Linked DNA regions of Notamacropus eugenii. The protein of the gene in region 1 interacts with the protein of each later gene in a biochemical or structural test. Links are inferred from orthologs where the notes say so. Each region holds a gene or a part of one and is shown on either strand. Other genes may lie near its edges.

Evidence for each region.
Region 2: the proteins of MAGI2 (region 1) and ADRB1 interact in a test that uses a peptide from one of them, tested with the Homo sapiens proteins (4 studies listed by IntAct, with this or other methods). The link is inferred for Notamacropus eugenii from reciprocal best matches to the Homo sapiens genes MAGI2 and ADRB1.

What each region holds. Positions count from the first base shown.
Region 1 is NC_092874.1:155,950,240-155,962,433, reverse strand, and holds the start of MAGI2 (membrane-associated guanylate kinase, WW and PDZ domain-containing protein 2), read left to right. Parts: upstream 1-6,306; 5' UTR 6,307-6,884; coding exon 6,885-7,185; intron 7,186-12,194. UniProt on the Homo sapiens protein: Seems to act as a scaffold molecule at synaptic junctions by assembling neurotransmitter receptors and cell adhesion proteins. Plays a role in nerve growth factor (NGF)-induced recruitment of RAPGEF2 to late endosomes and neurite outgrowth.
Region 2 is NC_092872.1:192,516,949-192,528,707, reverse strand, and holds ADRB1 (beta-1 adrenergic receptor), read right to left. Parts: upstream 5,537-11,759; 5' UTR 5,441-5,536; coding exon 4,010-5,440; intron 3,770-4,009; coding exon 3,728-3,769; 3' UTR 2,953-3,727; downstream 1-2,952. UniProt on the Homo sapiens protein: Beta-adrenergic receptors mediate the catecholamine-induced activation of adenylate cyclase through the action of G proteins. This receptor binds epinephrine and norepinephrine with approximately equal affinity.

The DNA.
Region 1 (12,194 bases):
TGTAGGACCATTCTGATTGATTGAAGAGTGACCACTGACACAGCATCCAATCTTTGTTTCTTCTGGTCTTCAAAATTATGTTGGAGATTCATTTTCCTCATAGCTTTTCCAGATTGAGTAAAGCTATTATCTTCTGGCTATCACAGAATCACTGAATTTTAGATCTGAAATTATCTAGTTCAGCTCTATTATTTTACATATGATGAAACTGAGAACCAGGTATCTGAAATAACATGCTGAAGGTCACATAACTTATTAATAGTAAAGCCTGGATCTCAATTCGTGCCTTTTTGCAATTAGGCCTAGATCCTGTCCAGTACTGCCTACTGCTCATATGTTTGCAACATTTATATCCAGATGTAATATAAGCTCATTGAGGGCAGGGGCTATGTGCTTTTATCTTTGTGTATGGAGTATGTAACACAATGCCAGACACATGGTAGACAGCTAATAAATGGTTGTCAAGTGGCTGATTATATAACAATTGAATAAGGAGAATCTCTGTTTCTGTTGTCTTTCATTTGTGTGTTTCTATGGATGGGTATACATCAGCATACACACAGATGTTCACATACATTTGCTACTAATGGTGATTAACAATAAATCAACTGGCAGATCACTTGCACCTGTACTGATACTCCAATTAACTGGGGTTTTCTTCACAGGAGCTCTTAACACATCAGCAAGCATTTGAGAAGCAATCAAGGTAATGTCTCAGGGTTGTTTGGTCTTTTGTATCTGAGGTCATTTTTAAGCATTTAACAATATTTATCATGGACGTTAGCTATTGGCACATATCCAATACATACTGTTCTTGCCTTCTTTATTACTTTGTAAGCTCCTTTAACTTCATTTGCTAATGCCCACAGTATTTATAACAGTGTCCTTTGTACATGATGTGCTTAGCGATGGAATCCATTTACAGGGATCAGAAGTCAAGAAAGAAGGCAAATGGAAAGTTGTATTGACTGTTGTATACTCAAATAATGGTCAGAATGTGGTTTCAGATGCTGCTCACATCCATTACTTAACGATCTGCTTTCTCTTGCAGTCAACTGAAAACAAACAAAAAAAACACAAAATATTAGCCCCTCATTAACAATTATCCAGAAAAGTCTGAGACATTTTATCAGGGAGAAATGGATTATACTCAGGTTACTGATTTCCAGAGAATAACAAAATATATTAAAAGGACACAAATGTGGCAGTGTAATATAATGTAAAGAGCAACAGAGCTGGAGTCAGATAAAATAGTTTCAATTCTGCTTCTATCTGTGTCTGTGTGACCTTGGGCAGGTTACTTACCTTTTCCAGACCTCAGTTACCTCACCTGTAAAATGAGGGGGTTGGATTAAATAACCTAGAAGATTTCTTCCAATTCTAAATCAGTGATCCTTTGACAGGATCATAAAATTCCCTCTTTCAGTCTAGATCTGAGATTTTACCAGAATATGGAACTATTGGTTAGCAAACTCTCTCTACAAAGCATTTTTTTTTTTATCCAATTAAGGCCTTAGAGCATTGGCTGGGGCACTGCAAAGTTAAATGACTTTTCTAAGACCACGCAGGCAGTATATGTCACAGGTGGAATTTTAATCCAGTTCTTAATTCAAAGGCAGATGATATACTGCCTTTGATTTTGAAGTATAACTTTGTTTTAGTTTCCTTAAAGATCATTTCACATGAGCCAAAAAAAAAAAAATCTTTAATACGCTGTCTTTCCCTTTGCTAAGAATAACTGGCATTTAAATAGCAATTTCAAGTTTGCTAAACAATTTATGTCTCTTACCTCTATTAAGCTTCAAGTGGGACCTCCATTTAATGATTACCATTTTGTAGTTGAAGATACTGGGGCTCAGAGTTTAAGTGACTTACCTATGGGCATACAATCAGCAAGTGTCAGAGAAGGAACACAATCTATGTGTGCTTTAACTCTCTGTGTCTCTGTCTCTCTCCTAATGTGCTCTTTTCAAGGTAATAACAACAATTAGAATTTATAGAGCACTTTGAGATTTTAAAAACTATTTCACAAATATTACCTCATTTTTCCTCATCCTAACTCTAGGGTAAGTATTATTATTGTAATTCTCTTTTTTCAGATAAAGTAACCGAGTCAGATAGAGCTCAAGTGACTTTTTCTAAACCAAGTAAGTGAACCAGCAAGAACCGGAACTCTGCTCTTTCTACCTCCAAGTTTAACACTATCCACCATGCCATCTAGCTGTCTCTCAAAGTAAGTATTCATATTGGATACCCTTTTCTATCAACATTATGTTTGGACTAACCTCCCTATGTGTTCTCAGAAACTCTGAGAATTTATGCCATATGATCAGCTCTCTATCACACAGAAGATCTGTTTCTAGAATTAGGGAGACAGCAATATATAACACATCTGGTTAGAAACCTCTGAAGAGGCAAAGTACAAAACATCAACTTTACAAATTCCACTTCAAATTCTAGGACAAGATGAGCCTCTAAGATTCTTGTGATTAAGTTCTGACCTTGAAGAATGACACTGCAATCTACCTGTATTATATGACCTCGCCAATTCCAGCTATCCAGTCTCTCTTTCTTAAGCCCACAGGACTTTGTCCTCAACTTTCAACCCTGCTCTTCCCCAGGTCCATTCAACTTTATGACTCTTTCCTCCTTTATCCAAGACCTTCTCTACTGTTTATCTAGTGTCTAATGATTGATTTCATCCACCTACATTCTTAGATGTTCCTCATTCCAAAAACAAACAAGCAAGAACAAAACCAAATTTTTCCTTGATTCTTCTATTTCAATCAGGTACTAACTATCCCATGTTTTTTTTTTTTCTCATCAGTGGTAAACTTTCTGAAAAATATTTGCGAGTATACAAGTCCTCTATTTCCTCACACTTATTCTCTAAATCTTGTAATCAAGGGCTTTGTCCACAGTCATTAATGGAAACTGCTCAAATAGCCTTTTTTGAGTACTTCCTTTATTTCTACTGGTTTTAGCATCGTGATGCCCCACTAGTAAATGCTCTCCCCTCCTTTAATTCATGAGCAAGACACACTCTTGGTTTTCCACTTTCCATTTTTCTCCTTCACTCGTTCCTGATCTTATTCCTGGCTTTAGTGGTTGCACAATTCTTCATTTCCAAAGGAAAGTACACTACATTCCTACAAGCACCTTGTCCATGCTAATGACTCCCAAGTGTAGATTTCTTTCTCCTCTAAGATCTATAACTACACATCAGGCTGCCTGTGGACATGTCTGCCTGAGTGTCCTATTGGCACCGCAAACTAAGAGCTCATTATAGTTTGCCTTTTTGTAGCTTTTATTCTTGGCTTTGGTCTTCAAAAGGAAAATAACCAAAAACTTACAGGAATTACAATGTAGCTTTTACTTCTTGATCTACTCTGCTTCTCCTACCACTCTCAGACAGAGCAGTATGAAAATTGAAGTAGAAAGATGGGGAAGGTGGTAGAAATCTACACCACTGACCAAAGACAGCCACAAACCAGAGAAGGTCAATCAAAAGTATAAGCTTCTTCTCCAGGATCAGTGTGGTTGCATTTAGAAGTGGAGAAAAGAAGGGAATATCCCCTGATTTTTCCTTTATTAGGAAATAAGTCAATTTAGCACCCTGAAAAGAAAAATAGAGTCTCCTAGAGGCAGGGGTCTCTCTGTCTCTGTTCTCTCTCTGTCTTGTTCTCTGTCTCTGTGTGTTTCTCTCATTTTCTCTCTCCTGCATTTCATGTGGCTTAAACTTTAATTTTATAGTCATTTAAAGTACAAAAAAACTTTGACTTTCTTAAGTTGGGCTCTGAAACTCTGGGGTGAGGAAAAAGTCCATCTCAAAATCATTACAAACCAAAGCTTCCTCCAGGCTCCAGATGTCCTGCTTTGAGGATGAGTGAATGAGATTCAGCTTAGTGAAGAAAAGTAAGAGAGAGGTATCCTATATATTAAAGCTTTAGAGAGAGGAAGATTTGAGACTTCTGACAATAGTCAAGAGTTAAGTATGTCATTCTGTGAAATGACCATTTATCCTATTTCTGAGGTTCATAACCTCAGGCTTATATTTGAATCTTCCTAATTTCTTATTTCCATTGAGTTTCCATGATCAGTGAATCTCAGCTTTGCAATATTGCTCACATCTGTTTGTTGCCTTCACCTAGAGCAGTCCCTCATTACTATCTGCCTAGAACAGGGGTGGGAAACCTGTGACCTCTAGGTCCTCAAGTGTGGCCTTTTGACTGAATCCGATTTTTTTTTTCTGTGAGGTTTGGCTTCAGTCAAAGGATCACACTTGAGAACCTAGAGGGTCAAATATGGCATCGAGGAGACAGGTTCCCCACCGCTGGTCTAGACTACTAATCTAGGCTCTTGACAAGTATTTCCTCTTCTACTCTCCTTCCCTTCAATCCATTTTACACACTGCTCTTTGTATTAGATTTCTTATGTATTCATCTCATCATATCACTCCTCTGCTCAAAAATCTTCAGTGAATACCTCCCAAACAATATTCTAATTCCCCTGCCTACTGTTTGAGGTTCTCTATAAATTCATGCCAACAGATTTTTCTAGCTTAGATCATATTACTATCAACCCCTTCTATTCTTTGTTCCCTGAATGTACCTTATGGCCTCTCATCTCAGGACATTTTTTTTCTCATCATTAATCTCAGTCATTTGACTTCTGAATTTCTAGTTATTATTTAAACCACAGCTCAAATGCTATACTTACCTTGAAGTTTTCCCTGATATGCTGCTGGTAACTATTTTTCTTGTTGGGCTTTATATCACAATTTGCTTTTATAACTCCTTAGAATACTTATAATGCAACACATTGTGTTACAGTTACATGTGTTTGTATCACATCCCTCCACTAAAATATAACCTCCATGAGAGCTGGGAGTCTACCTGATACAAATATTGTATTTCCAAAGTGTACTATACAAAGTTCTCCCCCATAATTAGTGCTTCATAAGTTTTCTGAATTGAATTATTAAAATGAATGTTCCTTTCATAAATTCATAACTTCTTTAGATAACGTAGGACTTTGCTGCAACACTGTTCCTGGCTTCTGGGCAATCCCAAAGGAGTTTGTTTTTTCTTCCCACCTTTTCAAAATATAACCCAGATTGGATGGTTCTCCATCTCTTGCAAATAGTGCACGTATTACTAATGTTTAAAAAATTCCATTAAAATTTTTCTGCTCTATATTAAAGAAACAACAACAAACCACGATCTCCCAGAAACTAAAATTTTAGGTTTTAAAGTGAAAGTAGCATCCCCTAGAATAATCCTTATTCTTCCATTCCCATCTAAGCCTTTCTCGGCAGTGAGTCACTTTTTAGCTCTTAGAGAACAAGTCTCTCTTCCTTTCCGTACTTTAAACCTGAGCTCCTAGTTAAATGCAGCAGCAATGAACAGGTTAAAATAGCTAAGCTCTCTCCTTAAATGGCTTCAACAACCCCCTTCCCCGTCTTTCCCCCAATCTCTTGCTTTTTTTTCTCCAAAGAAGTGGGAAGCCTGGATAAGGGCAGCCCTTGGTGCTGGGGGTGTGGAATCCCCCTGCCTACTTCCTGATTTGGGGGACTTCTGTTCCCCTAGTCCACCTACCATGGTTCACTTCAGACAGAGGGGAAAGTGGAGGGGGCGGAGCTGGCAAACTAGGACTCCAAGCTGCTTTAACCCTCTCCCACCAGCTACAGTCACTATCCCAGAGGTCTCCAACTTTTTCCCCCCTCCTAGAAAGAATTCTAAAGTCTCTGGCTCTGGGGACGTGGTAGGAGATAGATAAGCAACTCCTCTACATACTGAATTGGCATTCCCGCCACTTGTCTGTACTGCTCTCTGACTGCCCCCCCTTTCCTTCCCTTCTCTCTGGCCTTCCCTCTCGTCAACACCCCAACCCCCCCACCCCCACCCCGCGCGCACCTCCCTCCCCACCAAGTCCGGACGCATTTTCCCCACAGAAATCTCACGCCAGAGGACTTGCCCTGCCCAGGCTGCAGATGCTCTGGGATGCTTTCTCCCTCCTTCTTCATCTGGAGCCTGGGGCAGCAGGCAATAAGCACTGCGGAGCTGGGACAAGCGGCGGAGGACAGCCGGCCCGGAGGCTGCTAGGGCCCCCTTCTCCTCCTCTGGTCCTTCCTGTCCACTCTCCCCTCCCCTCGGCCAGCCGCGCTTCTTTCTCCCTTTGCCTCGGCTTGCTACCCGCCTTCTCCGGTAGGCTGCCAGGCGGACCCAGCCTGCCTTTCTCCAAGCCTTCACTACCGGGTCAAGCTGAGGAGGGGAGGGAGCTCCAGCAGCAGCCCAGAACCCCTCCCCTACTCCCCATCCAACAAACCCTCCTTCCCCTCCTCCTCCTCCTCCTCCATCCTACCTCCCCTCTTCCTTGCTGCCAGTTACAACTAGTACGCTCACAGCAGCTGCCATGGATATCAGCTAAACACACGCGCACACACACACACACACACACACACACACACACACACGCAGCGAGTGACCCCTAGTATCTCAACCCTCCCCCCTTTCCCTTTCCCTTTCCCCACCCCCACCCCCTCCCTCCCTCCCTCCCTCCCCAGCGCAGCTACTGCTCCGGCTGCTGCTGCCACCACCGCTGCTCTGCTCTCTGCCGGGGCCACAGCCTTGAGTGTCATTCAAGCGGCCGCCAAACACCACCCCAAGCTCTCTTATCCCAGCCTCAGCCGTCATCCCCTCCGCTTCCCACTTCCCATTCCACACTTCCCCCCAAAAGGGGAGGGGGGAAGCAAGCAGGGAGTGGGGCCGAGAGGAGGGAAAGCGAAGTCTTACCCTTCTTACCCCATCTACTCTCTCCTCGTCCTCTCACCTCCCGGACAGCCCTACATACCGGAGCGGAGCAGGGCAGACCACCCTACTGCCATGTCTAAAAGCTTGAAAAAGAAAAGCCACTGGACTAGCAAAGTCCACGAGAGTGTCATTGGCAGGAATCAGGAGGGCCAGTTGGGCTTTGAACTGAAGGGGGGAGCCGAGAATGGACAGTTCCCCTACCTGGGGGAGGTGAAGCCCGGCAAGGTGGCCTATGAGAGCGGCAGCAAGTTGGTACCGGAGGAGCTGCTGCTGGAGGTGAATGAGACCCCGGTGGCGGGGCTTACCATCAGGGATGTGCTGGCAGTGATCAAGCACTGCAAGGACCCTATCCGACTCAAGTGTGTCAAGCAAGGTAAGCACAGCTTTCTTATTTGTGTGACGGACAGCGAGACTCCGTCCCTGGGGCTAGAGGGTGGAGGGGCGTGCGTGTGTGCAAAAGGGGGTGTGTTGTGTGACGGTGGGGTGGGAAGATACAGAGAGTCATGCCAAAGCAAGGAAGATTTGAAGATTGCCCCACTTGGGGTAGTTTAAGGACTGAGGAGGCTAGGGTACAGATGAGGATGTGGCATGGTATGCAACTTTGTTTTTTTCAGTGGAATGAACTTGGTCTTGAAGGTGAGGGGAAAATTGAATGTGCGTCAGTGGCATCCCTTGGCGTGGAACTAAGATCTGGGGAAAAGAGAGTGGAAGGAAGGAAGAACTTAGGGAGCAGAGGCACCGCCAGCGGGGCAGAGAGGAATAAACACTTGCTGGGGAGAAGGGAGATGTGATAATTGGGGAGATGCGGATATTCCAGTGACCCGGACTGGAGACGCCGAAGTCGGTTGCCGGTTAGGAAGGAAAAGAACAGATGTCTTTGGGCTCTTTGACAGCTACTCAGTAACTTTTTTTTCCCCTTTCCCTCTTTTCTGTCCCCCCTCCCCCCTTCAGTCTTGTCATGTGGATAGATAGCGTCATGTGCAGCACCAAGTAACCCAGGGCAGTATTTAAACAACCTTGACTTCTAGGGATGAGACTAGGGCACATACGCAGGGTGCTGGTGCAGTAGAGAGCTGGTACTGGTACTGGGGAAATCTAATCAAAATGTACTGCGCTTAGTGGTTTTTTCCTCATTGAATGGAACTGTTATGGAGGAGTTGCCTCAGTAGGCTGGGCTTTCCCCTGGCAGGGGTTATTGGTGGGTGTGTTTCTAGGGAGAAGTGGATGGAAATGCCAGCTGGTTACCTCCCAGGCTCCTTCAACTTTGAGCTTCTGGGAGGCTTTTATCCTTTGGGCTTGCCCCTGATGTGAACATAGGAGGAATGGGGTGGGGGAGGAGGAGAGAGAGAGTGCTAGCTGAACTCTAGTAATCTTACTGGCTGTTTCTGTTTGAAGGAAAATGAGATTCCCCAAGGAGGAAGGAATGAGATAAAAGTTTGGCAGAGGGAATAACTTCAAGGAGACTCACATAGAGACTATTCTTTCCACATGTGTGTGCATGTGTATTCATAGGCAAATTTTGCACATTTCATGTGTATAGGGGAGTGAATATATATATATATATATATGATTGTGCAAATTTTTTGAGAGGTATATTATATTCTTACATTGTTAATAAATTAAAGATGCTACTTTTGTTTATAGAGATATGTACAGACACCCCCACTTATACATATATGATTGTGAGATTGTCCTCACAAGTGCAATTGACTGGCACCACAAAACTCTATTCAAGATATTTTGGTCCTCAAAAGGATTAGATGTATAAATAAACAAGTAAAAAAAAAATGCCTTGAAAAGGAAAACTTAACGCAGGAAAGGGAGGATGGGATTCAATTAGTGTAATAGACTGGAAAGAAAACAGACTCCAGAATCAGAAGACCTATGTTCAAATCCCATGTCATGCTTAATACCTTTGTGACCCTGGCAAGTCATTTAAACTTTGTGCTTCAATTTCCTGTACTGCAAAATGAGGATTGAGGAATAGATAGCTCCTGAGGAAACTTCAAACTTTAGATCTCTGATTCTATGACAGCTTTAAAAAGAGAATTTTTCAAAAATAGAAAAAAAAATCTTCACAAACTTAATTACAACCCTACTGAGAATTGAATCTATATGCAGAGTTGGATACAAATGCAGTATTTTATGCTTTCCAAAACTGCATACCCGGGGCTCAGCTATGAGGATTTGAATTTTTTTCTTTTTTGTCTGTGTTCTGTGTAGATCCAGCAACCATAGCTTCTAAGATTTCAACCCCTTCATCACTTTTAATGTGAAGAGATATTGCTTTTAATATGTTAATCAAATATATGTATATACACACATATACAGTCATATATGTATGTATATAGTCATATATGTATGTATATATGTTTATATATAGAAGCAACAAGTTAATATAGAGAAAATTTTGTTGAATGAGCATTTTCTTGAAGATTACTGGTTAACTAGCATTGCTGAGTTTCACTAGTAGAGTAATAATTAATTGCAAGGTATCATACTTAAGGCACTTGTATAGCCTGATGAGGCTTTTGAATCATCATGAATAAAATGATATTCAGTCTTAGTGGCTTAGTGTTGTATATCATGATAATATTATTATGATTCTTTGAAAGTTCATAAAAATGTCTATGCTTTAACCAAGATTCTTCTTTGTTCAATCCTGTCAGATAATAGAAAAGCTTATGGATCTTTATTATTCCACAATGGGAGCAAACTTAACCCTGGTCAAGCCACTGCACATCTCTGGGCCTCAGTTTCCTCAATTTGTTAATTGATAGAGTTGAACTGGATTCCCTCTGAGGTCTCTTCTGTCTCTAAATCTGTGAACTCTTGCATAGTTTTATACATTATTCTTTGCTTTTTCAAAGAAAGTACTTTGACACAGAGAGAACTGGCAACTTGAGAATAAAATGTGTACCTTCTCTTTGTAGTATGACTCTTAGATAACAACTGAAGTTTGAAATATGCTCTACTTTCAAATGATTATAATTTTCAAAAAAAATTGAATAGAGTAAGAAGAGTTTACTTAATCAATAAAGGAGAATATTAGTTTCCATCAGAATCTCTGATTTAATTAGTGCAAGGCATTCCAAGTAAGGAAATTTCCAGTGCAAGTTTTAGTATTCATGAGTTGCTTAGGGGCCAGCAGTGAGAGGTTCTAGGTGACTTTCCCAAGATTATAAAGAGAGTGTATATCAGAGGTGGAATCTGAATGTATGTCTTCCAGATACCAGATGACTTGCTACATACTACAAAATGATATGTTCATACATGAATACATATATTGAAAAATATTTTCATTTCAATTCATTCAAAAAATTGATGAATTTTCACTCTTATCTAGTTGTGCATTGGCTATCCCTGGATGTATTGCAATTTTAAGATATTGCTATCGATAGTCATTTTGCTATGTGGCTTAAAAGCATACATTTCTAAAATTATTATTTAGCCAACTTCATAAAAATCCACTTTTTAATTTAAGTTGGCATATTTCCAATTCAGACATAGAATACAAATGTGGAATATATAATTGTCCCAAATCCAATTTTTGTAAATTATTCCTTTTGTGCTTTTAAAATAATTAATTTTCATTACCCAAGTGATTTGCTCTTAAGTAACTGTTTTTACTTTCATTCATTTTATTGAGGAATTGTATTCATAGAAAATTCCTTGAATAAGATTCAATGGTGTGTGTGTGTGTGTGTGTGTATGTGTGTGTGTGTGTGTGTGTGAATTCTCACACAGATACATAGACATACACACTATAGTTCATAACACAGTCACAAGGAATACTTCTGTACTACATTTTTTGGACTGTGGCTACCAGTACCACCTGGTGACACAAATAGTCATGTACCATGGTTTTCTTTTGAAGTACTTACAAATGGAAAATAGGAGAAAAGGGAAAAAAGGAGAAGTAGCTTCACCTAACCCCCTTAGTTCCAGAGAAAGGGAATATTCTACCCATTACTCATTTGAAGACTCCAAGAAATAAAATGAAACATAATTACTAACAGTCTAATTTTGATCTCCTTTATAGAAAGAGTTATTTATATATTCCTTCTTTTTGGTGAAACAAGACACATACTCTCTCATAATAAAGATGACTTTTTCCTCATGATACTTTGAAGTAGGGGATGGGAATAGGAGATGTGCATCAAAATTAAATATTTTGGTAACTTGGCACTTTCTTTGATTATAAAATATCTTTACCATCCTGAAACAAAGTTAATGAGCATATTACTTTTATTTTGGCATGATTTATTCATGACATTTGTGTACATTTTCCCTGTACATAAGTAATTAAAGGAACACAATCTTGAAAGGACTAATCAACTATTTGCCTTTTTTAAAAAAAGAGGGAGATTAGTCTTAGAATGAAATCACAGTCAGAAGTATGTAAGTACTAGTCACTACTCATAACATTTACAATGTGAGATCTTTCAGCACATGCAGTATAAGCACATCTTCCTTTCAGTGACTTGAAACTCAAACATGCAAATTCTCAAGGAGCAAAAATGTACCACAGATCTCATCTTGGATTCTTTCTGCTTTAAACAATGGCTTTCAAAAACTCATTTAAAAATAGCAGACTAAAAAGTTGATAATCCTTTTCCAATTATGTCAGTCATTAAGATATGGTAGCATTGCAAAGTTTTTTAAGCTTAGAAGACTTCTCAAATTTTGAGCTAGAGTTGAGGGTTAATAATATTCCTAGTGGGAAAATGCAAAATGATTTACATATTTAAAGTTATAGTCAAATTCAAAGATATAGTTGATTTTTTTTGATCTTGAAGATGAATTAAAACTTTTTCTCTAAGTGAAGAATTAATCCTATAGTTAAAGATAATATCTATAAGCAGAATGAAGTACTCAGTAGAGGCTTTAGATTTGTCCCTCCTCATGCTGAATGTTTCAGTAATGGGTAGCTACTTTATACAAAACTAGTACTTTCACCATCCTTTTGTTTCTGGAATTAACTCCCTCCCTCCTCTGCCAGTGAATCATTCACCACAAACTTTCAATCATCACAGTCCTTGTGAACAATGATCAGGGTGAGGAAGAGGAGAATTAAGAGTGTGTCTTACCTCATGGAAGGAAGGAGAGCATGCTCAGTAGTGGGGCACTGCCATGGTGAATACAAGTAAGGAGGGTACTGGAAAAAAAAAGACATTTGGTTTAGCTAAGAGGAAGTCATTTGAAGGGAGGAGGAGGAGGAGGAGGAGGAGGAGGAGGAAAGAGAGAGAGAGAGAGAGAGAGAGAGAGAGAGAGAGAGAGAGAGAGAGAGAGAGAGAGAGAGAGAGAGAGATCAGTAAGAACATCTGGATTTAAATTCTATTTATGACTAGCTGTGTAACCATGGAGATGTCACTTAACATT
Region 2 (11,759 bases), on another chromosome or scaffold:
GAGCCAGTATGGTTAATTGGAATTTACTGCTTTTCAAGGCTTTCTTATTCAGGAGGCCCAACTTTGATCAAAAGTGCTGCTGGAAACTGACCATGGTGACTGTAGATGATCTTCATTTGAACCCTTACTTCATGGTTCTTGTTCAAATTTGGGTTCTAAGACTGTGCTTACACTTTGGATGCAGAACTTCCGCCACTGTAATTTGACATACTACGGGGAGGAAGTCAACACATTCAACAAAAATAGGAAATTAAAATAAGTTAGGAAAGTGTGCTTACCAAGGAAGGGCCTTCACAATAGCCACTTAATAGTTATTAATAAAATTTCAATTTCAAAGGTGTGGACCAAAACTTACTTGCAAACTTTTTTTTTCCCCAACACTCATGTAAAGTACTGCTAATAAAAGAAGTTAAGTTCACCAAAGGTTAAAACAGAATTTTCTGTACTCACATACACCGTTAAATCCATAGTTTTTATACTGTTGGGAACATCATTATATTTCTAAAGGTTGTAATCATCACATTGCACGGAATCTTGCAGAGCTATACTTAAATATCACTTACAAATGTAGCATAGCATGTCACTGGGCACATCATCCTCCTTTTTGATCATTAAATTTTGTATTTATAGCACATCAGAAAAGCAAATGTGCCTGCTATACACAAACACACTTAACATGAGGACTTCCTGCGTATTTGTTATGCCTTTCTACTCTGTCATATTCTTTCTTCCTTTCACTCCATTATGCAGTATCTTAACAGAGTAAACATGTTTGGTAATCTGTCTTTCATTGTCAATCTGTGTCTGTTTTTCTTCAAGAGAAAGAGACAGACAGACACGGAGAGATACAGAGACAGAAAGAGAGAGACCCATAAAGATGCAGAAAGAGGGAGATAAAGAGGAAGAGACATAGAGGAGAGAAAAAAGACCTAAAGAATAGTTTTCATGGATATTTGGAATCATTACCAGAGCCCTGAGTAGGCATAATCATCTACTCGTAAAAACCAAGAGAAACCTGTTGAACACAGAATCTTTTTGGTCCCGAATGAGTATAAAATTAGCTAAAAAGGATAGTATTTTCTTTGGGAAAGAGTTACTAAGTTTTATTAAGGAACAAGTAATGCTCATGAATTAACTACTTTTTGCTTATTTGTTGTAAAAATCCAGGAAATTTCCTAAGATCTCCAAGTCTCTAGATATTAAGGGCCTATTTATACCGTTTTCATTCAGGGAAATTTCTTACTTCATGGGAAGGTTAAACTGAGTGGATCAGGAAAGCAAAGCATTTGTTTGTTGCCACAAGGACTACGAGGCAAAACGTTACATGGTCTTTAGTATTCTAGACTAACAGCAGATAAGGGAGGGAATAGAACTGTTTTAAGCTGTCTCACCTTATTTTTTTTCTTTAAAGAACTGTATTTACTTTAAAGTCTCAGTATTGGTGGAGACGTTTAAACTTGTAACAGCTTCTGTGTAACTGTGGAAGCCCATGCGACCTATTACTGTTCACTAAAATGTTAATATTTATCTTAATTCAGTGTGAGTACAGGTTCCTTAAACATCCCACCAAAAGAACAGTAGTCTATCCTGACTTATCATAACAGACAAAGCGACATATGAGTGTTAACACTTAGCATATACCAAACGTTGATAGGTGGAACTTTGGCTTGCTTATCATAAAATTTTAAAAGAAAAAACTCAGTACAAAAGTAGGAATCTTACTTTGGAGGACAGTCCTTCACTGGGAGGAATTTCACAATGCTTTCTCTAGAAACAAACTACAAAAATATTCTGGATACTTTTGCATGTTACAAAGCTACTAAATAATCCCATAAATGCCATATAGGGTATCCCAAAAATCTTGGTGCAGGGAAACCTTATATTATCTGTCAAATAAATTTTATCTATCCATCTGAAATGATGCTACAAAGATTGATTAGATAAATAAACGGGAAAAAGCCACTTGAAAGGAAAATATTTTTATAAATAATCATTTGACCACGGAAGCATTTTACATTCAAAATAGCCATTAGAGAAATATACATACTGTACACTGAACTTTGTCGGCTACATATTGGAAACCCAAGAAATTACTGATTTCATTCAAAGCAGGTAACAAATTATGCAATCCATGTATTATTCTTTTGTGCAAAGTAGCAGTTGTTTTACCTGTCATTCTGAAGATTGTATTTCGAAGGTAAAATTACATTTCTTTACATAATCCAAAATGTTTCCTCTTAAGAAAAAGGCCAGTCCAGCATATGGGAGCTTGCTATACTAGAAATGGTTAGGAGATGCCTTTGAATCCATCTATGAATTTTGGAGGAAAATTAGAAGTTCTCAGTAGGAATATAGTTTTATTTGGTCTAGACCACATTTTGCCAGGCTTTTACATCAGGAAAGGCTATTAGGAATAGTTGCGTTGGAAATCCAATCCTTACTGCAAGCAAAACAAATGCTAGTCTTTTCATTACAGCTGAAAATTGTTTCCAAACTCCTACAGATACACTGTACATATCTTGATTGTGCTGCATTTGTATTTATTGCACATAGACCATTTACTTACACAGTAGTTAGTTGCACCAGAGTATAAATACTTTATAAAATACACAGGAGGAAATTGAAAGGACACACAAGTGCTAAATTAACAGCAGATTCACGTGAGCACTTGGACGTACAAAAATAATAAAAAAAATCCTTATATTTAAATTTTTAGTATGGATACAGTTACAGTACCATGATAAAATAGTATAAAAAGTCATTTTTTTCAATAAAACATCAACTCAGTAATATAACAGACAAAAAAGTAGAGTTTGGATTTCAGATTATTTTCAACTCCCTCTCCTCCCCTCATTAAATGGTTTTTTTTTTGTGTGTGTGTATGTGTGTGCAAGTAATATCTTCAGTGGACTTTACAATTTCTAACACTGTGCAAAAAAGCATTTTGAACCATTCTTTTTATTTTCTTTTTCCAAATGTGCAGTAATTTTTCTCGACCCTAAGACTGTTTCCTCTCTCCAAATTGTGAGAGTCACGTGTCACAGAGGCTGGCGCCTGGTCCTTTAACTAATATTGATACATAAATAATCTGTTTAATATAAACATATCTTTAAAAAAAAATCCCTGTGCAATATGCACAGTTTGAGGTAGGAATCCCTCTGCCTCATCACCATTGCCAAGACGAAACAGGAAAGCCAGGTTGTTTGTTCTAAATAAAACTCGTAAAAGGTGAACGTGATTTTTGCAACCTTTCCACTTTGCTTTCTTTAAAGATGTCACCATTCAGACTTTGAAACAATAATGACAAAAATCTTTCGTGGAACCGAGAAAAACCCTGTCCCATCAAACTTTCCAGATTCCTTTTCTCTTACTTTGACTGGTCCAGTTCCCGGGAATTGGATGGGAACAGGTGATAGTCTTCCAAAGCAGGATTATTAAGTGCAGCTCTTGGAGAAACCAAGTGGATGGTTTTTCTTTTTCTTTTTTTTTTTCTGAATCCCATCTTCTTTTCTCCATCCCACTTATCTAACCAGTTAACACTTTCTCAATCCTTGCCTGAAGGATCAGAATTAGAGTGGAAAAGGTAAAACAGGCATCTTCCCCCCAGAAGTCAGGAAGAAAAGTCCAAAAATCCCAACTCCCCCCGTCCCCAACTTTCCTTCTTTTCAACGGTCCAGTTGCTTTTGTTTGTCGCGGATGATTCAGAAGAGGTATGAAGGATACGCTATCACCTGCTTTCGGTCTTGAGTAAACACAGATCCTCCCTTCCCTGTGAAGACAGTTCAGGGCTGTTGGCTCTCTTCCTCTTGAACTTCCAAACCAGTTTCCTGGGTGGGGGTGTGGGGAAGGGGCGGGGGGGGAAGCCCCACTCCCCCATTCCTCCCCGACGGCCCCCCACCGCGAAACCACCTGCCCTGTAGCCCCCGCCAGAAAGTAAAAAGAAAACACAAGCCCGGCCCCCTCCTCCGCCCCACCGCCCCCTGCCCCTGCCCAGCGGCCGGTCCTATACCTTGGATTCCGAATACGAATCTTTGCCGTCCCTGTCCTCCAGGCTGGAGTCGCTGTCCCCGGTCGCCCCGCCGTTGCAGCCGGCCCAGGGCTCCAGGTAGTGAGGCGCCGAGGGAAGCAGCTCCCCCTGCTCCGCGTCGGCGGCCGCGGGGGACGGGCTGCCGCAGCCCGCGGCCGAGCTGCCGCAGCCCCCGGTCGTGGCGGCCCCGGAGCCCCCGCGCGACAGCTCCCCGGCGCTGGCGTGGAGCCGCCGCTCGGCCCGGCGCGGGCAGCACAGGAGCCGCTTGAAGGCCTTGCGGAAGTCCGGGCTGCGGCAGTAGATGATGGGGTTGAAGGCCGAGTTGGCGTAGCCCAGCCAGTTGAAGAAGACGAAGAGCCAGTTGGGCACCAAGTCCCGGTGGAAGACCTTCACCACGTTGGCGAGGAAGAAGGGCAGCCAGCAGAGGGTGAACACGCCCATGATGATGCCCAGCGTCTTGAGCGCCTTCTGCTCCTTGAGGGCCACGAGGCGCGACGGCCGCCGCTTGCCGGGGCGCCCGTTGGCCAGCGGCGCGCGCGACGGGCCCGGCTGGCGGGGCGCCGGCGGCGGCGAGGGCGAGGGCGGCGGGCGGGGGCCGCCGTAGAAGCGCCGCTCGCAGCGGTCGATCTTCTTCACCTGCTTCTGCGCCTCGCGGAAGACGCGCAGGTAGACGAAGGCCATGATGGACAGCGGCACGTAGAAGGAGACCACGGAGGAGGCGATGGCGTACGCGCGGTTGGTGACAAAGTCGCAGCACTTGGGGTCGTTGTAGCAGAGCCGCGCCTCGTCGCCGTCCGCCCGCCACCAGTGCATGAGGATGGGCAGGAAGGACACGAGCGCCGAGATGGCCCACACGGTGCACACGAGCGCCCGCGCCCGCGGCCGGGTCAGCAGGCTCTGGTAGCGGAACGGGGACGTGATGGCGATGTAGCGGTCCAGGGCGATGACACACAGCGTCTCGATGCTGGCGGTGACACACAGGACGTCCACCGACGTCCAGAACTCGCAGAAGAAGGAGCCGTACTCCCAGCGGCCCCACACCACGATGGTGGCCCCGAAGGGCACCACGAGCAGCCCCATGACCAGGTCGGCGCTGGCCAGGGAGATGATGAAGAGGTTGGTGAGCGTCTGCAGACGCTGCGTCTTGGCGATGGCCACGATCACCAGGACGTTGCCCGCCACAATGAGCAGCACGATCAGGGCCATGAGCATGCCCATGCCCGCCGTCCACTGCTGGGATAGGGCCGCGGGCGCCGGCGTCGTCGAGGTCAGCAGAGAGGCGGCCGGGGAGGCGGGCACCAGCAGCCGGGCGGCCGTGGCTGCCGCGGCCTCCCCGCCCGCCCCGTCGGGGGCCGGCGAAGGAGACGACAGGTTGTAGGGCTCGTAGCCTAAGCCGAGCGCACCATCTCCCATGGTGAGGAGGCAGGAGCTGAAGTCTCGGGGTGGGGACGGAGCCCGGAGAGCCTAGAGGTGGGAGGGGACGGCGAGAGAGGTCAGGGCCGGGGCCGGGGCCGGGGCCAGGTCAGGCCAGCTGCGTGCAGCAGCGCGGAGCCCCGGACCTCGGCGCCGGCTGCTGCCTCCCTCCTCTCGCAGGCTGCGGCTGTAGCTGCTGTCGCTGCCAACACTTCAGCATGTTTCTGAGCGCTCCGGTCTGGCAGCTCCTGCACCCAGCACCCCACCCTAACCCACAGTTAGCTCCCCCCAACCCAGCCCCGGAGGCCTCGCGTCAGTGTCCTGCGGCCAATCAGGGGCCAAGGCACGCCCCCGTTTTGTCCCCCACCCCCCTCCTCCGCCTTACTGCCCTCCCACGGGCAATTAAGTGGCTCCGGGGAGCCTGGTGAGGGGGGGCGGCATGAGCACGGATCTCAGCCCTGCGCTGGGGGAACGGGGGACGGGGGCTCTGGATCCTTAGCGAAGGAAACGTGTGCTCCGTCCCACTGCAAAGGGCTTGCTGGGTTCGGAGGGGAGGAGACTGAGGGTGTTAAAGAGAAGGGCGGTTTGGAAAGTCGGGCTGGAGGAGTTGGGCTGTTTGTCTGATTCTCGGATCCGAAAACCTGGCGGTGTCCCCTGGTCAGAGGGGCCTGGGCAGCCTCACACCCGTCGGTTCAGGGGGATCAGAGAAGGGTGTTATCCGCTAGAGAGAAACTCCCAAGCAGCGCTACGGGTTTCGCAGGGGGGATAACCACGCATCTGTCAGGAGCGCTTTGTGGGCGCTAGGCTTCTAAGAAGCTCGGGCTGCTCCAGGCGGTAGTTACATAAAAGAAGCGAAGGTTGTGCATCTAACGATGGAGACTAATTGGAAAAACACACACACCCAAATCCAAATCCCAGCTAATGAATGTGTAAGTATGATGCAACCGTGTGTGGATAATACAAAGAGAGGTTTAAGGAAACGCAAATGTTAGCGTACAAAGTAAATGACACTTCCTACAAAAAAGAGCGTGTTTAATTACAGTTCAAACCTTTCACACTCAGTAATAACACCTGTATTTTGTTTTGTTACTCACATGATTTATTATTCTAAGAGGTTCAAAACAAACAGAAAAAAGTGCTGTCAGTTTGGGTTGACGTAATGAACAGGGACTTCTGATTTCTCAGTTTGATCAGTTGTTTTCTCCCTTGCCCAAGTTCCCAGATTCTTAAAACTCTGGGATTAATTTTGTAAGGATGAGAAGAGAAAATATGTAAATACTCAAGAGGATTAAAATCCCAAAGCATTTAAAGAAGTATAGCGATGACTTTTGAATTGCCAAAAGAACATGTTTCAAATTAGCCAGTTGTTAACCCTTCTGAAGGCAGGGTTGGTATTATCTTGGTATTATCACCAGCACCCAAAGCAGCACAAGACTAGATAAAAGTAAATCTGCAAATGCAAGGAAGAAAAACATGAATCTGCAGCTATATGGCCTTGATACAGGCTTTTAATTCCATGTATAAATAGAAATACTGAATAATGAACATATATGTATGTTCACATGTATGCCCACATTATAAGAATAAGAAACGGCACTCCTGCAATGAAATCTGGCACCTGGATGGCAGGCAAATTCTTCACTAGCAGAGGAATTGGTTTTTACAACCATACTGGAGTGCTTAGCTCTCCAAGCATGCAGTGCAGATGCAATAAACAATGTCTGTTAAATATTGTAAGGTCACTTCTCAGACATATAACTTATGCATTTCTTGAATTCAGCCATAAAAATTGCTTCAGGCCCAAACCTGACCTACAAGAGGACACCATCAGGGAGTGATTTGTTTATTCTGCATTTGTTTAACTCTGCCCTGAGATTTACCAGCCTGCCTCCTACCAATGGAGTAACCATCCTAAGGTAACTACAAACCTGTGTCAAGCTTAAGCACATGCCCATCTTCCTCCTTATCTGGAGAGAGTCTCAAAATAGATCAGGGCCCTGGAAAGGATTGGAAATGGTGCTGCTCTGTGATGGGGAGAGGACAGGAAGGCTGTCGATCAGTCACCATCACTGTCAAGTGTTACAGGAAGAGATTCTACTGGCCTTAAATATCGCAGAAGGACAGTAGACTATTGATTATATTTCTGTGAGAGATAAAAAAATATTTGGTTGTATGGGCGTTTAAAGGCTTAGTTGTCAATAAATTGACTATAATCATATGCAGGAATGCTCTAAATATATGGAAGTATGTGACTTGTATAAGACTCTAAATGTAACAAACCCCCTCCCCCTGCCAAGTTTTAGGAAATTCTTATAACAGGGTACTCTGATTCCCTGTTTTAGAAATGTGTTAACAACATGAATATTCAAAACCGAAAAGCTACTTATATTATTGCTGATAGATCTTTAGAATAAAATACATAGAGTTTCTGTCTGATGATAAATATTAGAACTTCTCAGTTGAATTTGCTAAGTTGCAGTGATTTTAAGAAACCAAAAAAGAAAAAAAATGGAACAATTAATAACCATTTTGGTCCTTTAATATAATATATGGTTTGCATACTTTTAAAAATGAAACCTTACTAGGTTACCTCTAACTCCTTCATTTACTTATGAGAGATTGAGGTGGATTGTTAGCATTGCTTTGATATGGCTTCTTTCCCTTAAGTATACCAGGTCAAGAGGAGAAAGTTCAACATACCCACCTAGATTGTTCTTAATTATTTCATAAGTCATGACTTCGTATTTAAAATAGTTTTTTTCCCCTTCCTAGAAGTAGTTTTTAAAATGATCTCTATGAGGAACACACCCATGTAATCATTTGGATTGTCATCTAAACACATTGTTCTAAAGGGAATATCCAATAGTACATTTTGAAAGACTTGAGTCTTCCTTTGCAGTGTTTGAATCCAGCTTTCCTTAACATCCCCACTGTTGTTACTCCATGTCAAGCCCCCTATGTCATGTCTTAACCCCTGAAGTAATTTCCTAAGTAATCCCTCTGACCCCAGTCCTCCCCTCCTGTCCAGTGAGCACCTTTGCAGCATGACTGATCTTATTAAAATGCTACTTTAATCATTGATTGCTTCTGCATGAAAATGTTCAGTGACTCCCCAAACTTTAGCATGATCCCAACCTGACTTTCCAGGTTTAGCTACCACTTACTCCATAAACCAAACTATGTACCCAGCCCTCTCCTTAAGGTGAGGCCTCTTGCCTCTACTACTCTTGCTCATGGAATGCCCTGTCTTCTAGGGTCCATAAAAATCCTACCTATTTCTTGAGATCTAGCCCATATCAGGCTTGTTCTATATAGTTTTCTATTACTACCCCAGACTGAAGTAACTCTGATTTCTCTAAACTTATACAGTTCTCATTTTGTTTAGTTCATTTATCAAAGAGAGCTTGGTGCAGTGGATAGAAAACTGGTTTTGGAGCCAGGTGGATGGATCTAGTTTTAAGTTCTTCCTATACTGGCTGTGCTATTCCAGGCAAGTCATTGACCTCATGGAAAATCTTAATTTGCAGAGAAGGTGCTAACCCAGAATTCCATATGTCACTGAAATCAAGGATCTGGTCCCTCTCCCATTTGTGTGTTACCTTGGAACTTCTTTTCTAATTGTCTTGAACTGCTATTTAATGATGGTATTGTTAAATACCTTTCATGCTGTCTTCAGTTGTTTACCAAATGAGATTGTAAACCCTTTGGAAACACAGATAATATCTTGCTTAAAAGTTTTGTATCCCAATGGAATTTACTCTTGAGGTCTTGCATATAGTTGACACTTATTAACTGTGTGAGTCTGGGCAAGTCACTTAACTTCCTTTTGTCTCATCTGTAAAGCAGGGACAATAATATACAGGGGTGTTGTGAGGATCAAAAGAGATAAAATTAGTAAAGCACTCAGTACCTTGGTCAGCACATAGTAAGTACTATATAAATGTTAGTTATTATGAACCAAAATACTTGCTAGTTTGATTGAAATTGTTAACTAATACAAGCAAAATCTGTTTTTTCAGCTATATTATGCATCCATTTTATTATGTTGTGATTCTCCACATTTCCATATCTTTTATTATTAACTATTTTCATATAAATATTTTAAAATGCTTTAAAATCATGTTTCATAATAATCGTGTAAGGCAATTTGTATTGGCAACTTTTGTAAATGAATTGAATTTCGATGTCATATATATATAAATATAACTTTCTAGAGATTCACATGAATTAACAGGCAATTTTATTACTTGTTACTATGTTACTTATTACTACTTATCTAGCATTGTGCTAAACATTGGATACAAAGAAGGGCGAAGACAGCCCCTTCCTCATGCTCCCCTAATGAACAATGTAAATTGTAAATACACCATGTAAATAAATAGGTACATAGAAGATATACAGAGAGTAGATAGGAGTTAATCTTAGGGAAGAATGCTCTGACAAGTTGGGAGGACTGGTAAAGGCTTTCTCTGGAAGGTGGGATTTGATCTGAGTCTTGACAGAAGCCAGGGATCATAAGAGGCGGAGACAAGGAAGGAGAGAATTCCAGACATGAGGGAGAGCCAATGCTAGATCAAGGAAATGGAAATTGGAGAGTTGTGTGCGAGGAATCGCCAGAAGACCAATGGAACTGGATCCTAGAGTGTGTGGAGGGGGCCATCTCTGGTTGTCCTGATGTATATCTGGTCACTGGACCCAGATGGCTCCAGAGGAGAAAGTGAGGCTGCTGTCTTTGCATAGCCCTCCCTCACTTGCATACAGTTCACTTGAATGTTATGGCATCATGTCCATGATGTCATGTTTCTGTTCGAGAATGAAGGACAAACAAAAGAGCGTGTGGAAAGGGGAATGTAATCTAAGAAGACTGAAAAAGTCGGAAGGGGTCAGACTGTGAAGATTTTTAAATGACAAGCAGAAGATGTTATGTTTGCTCTTATAAGTGATAGGGAGTCAGCTGTTTAGGAGGGTGACATGGATAAACCTGTGCTTTAGTAAAATCACTTTGGGAGTCAAGTGGAGGTTAGATTGGAATGGGGAGAGACATTAGCCAGGGAGACTAATTAGAAGGCTATTTGCAATAATTCCAGCAAGAGGTGGTGAGGACGTAAAGGAGAGTGGCGACTAGGTGAGAGAAGGAAACATGAAAGAAACTGGGCAGATAAAAATGATGAGGTTTGGTAACAGACTGGATATAGGGGCTAAGTCAGTATCAGGATGAGATGAGCCCAAATCTTCACAAATGACCATGACGAATGAACTTTTATTGTTTGTGTATACACAGTACCACATGTCCTGTCAGCCTCTCACTAGGAGAACAGGAAACAGATGACTTGAGCTCTAGACCAAATTAAATGTTTACAAGGCAGTGAGCAGTAATGGCACTGGTTATAACACACGAATCTTCCAGAAACATCTTGTTCTCTTAATGTCACATATTCCTAATATCAGAAGACAGTTTTACCAACATTATGGTTCTAGAGTCTGCCAGTTTTGAAGTTCTTGCCTTGATTTCATCTCTGCTTAACTTGAAGTGTGGGAAAACTTCTGTGTACCCAAGAACATTCTCTGAGTTTAGAGGTGTTCAGTTCTATACTATGTGCCTGGCACTGGGCTAGGTGCTGGGGGTATCAAGATAAAAATGAAAGCAGGCCTTGCCTTGTCTCCTAGGGGTTTACTGGGGGTGGGGAACACTTTGTATGCAAATAAATAACTATAAAATATGTACAAAGTAAATGCAAAGTAATTGGAGGGAGATGAAGGAGGGAAAATGCTAACAATTACAAAGGAAATTAGAACAAATAGGATAGAGAACATGTCAGAGCAGAGCTTTAAGAGGTACATCAAAGCTGTTGACTGGGAAACAGGAGCTTAAGTCTGTCATCTGAGCTAGGTTGACTTTTTTAAAGCAAAGATGTGCTGTTTTTGTGATGAAGCATAACGGCTGCAAACTGCAACACAATGCTAAGTAATCAAAGAACAGCCTGAAGTTGACATTAGGAATGGACTTCTTGATTTTGTAACCACACTTGGATGTGTTATCTTGGCTGGTAACACATTCATCACCAACATCTTTGAATATGGTAATCAATGATTAGGGGAGTTTGAAGATTTCCAAACACCTTTTCTTTCGCTTTCCCTTTCTCATTTCCTTCCCTCCCCTCCCCTCCCCTCCCCTTCCCTTCCCTCCCCTCCTCTCCCTTTCCCTCCCCTCCCCTCCCCTCCCTTCCCTTCCCTTCCCTTCCCTTCCCTTCCCTTCCCTTCCCTTCCCTTCCCTTCCCTGCCCTTCCCTGCCCTTCCCTTCCCTTCCCTGCCCTTCCCT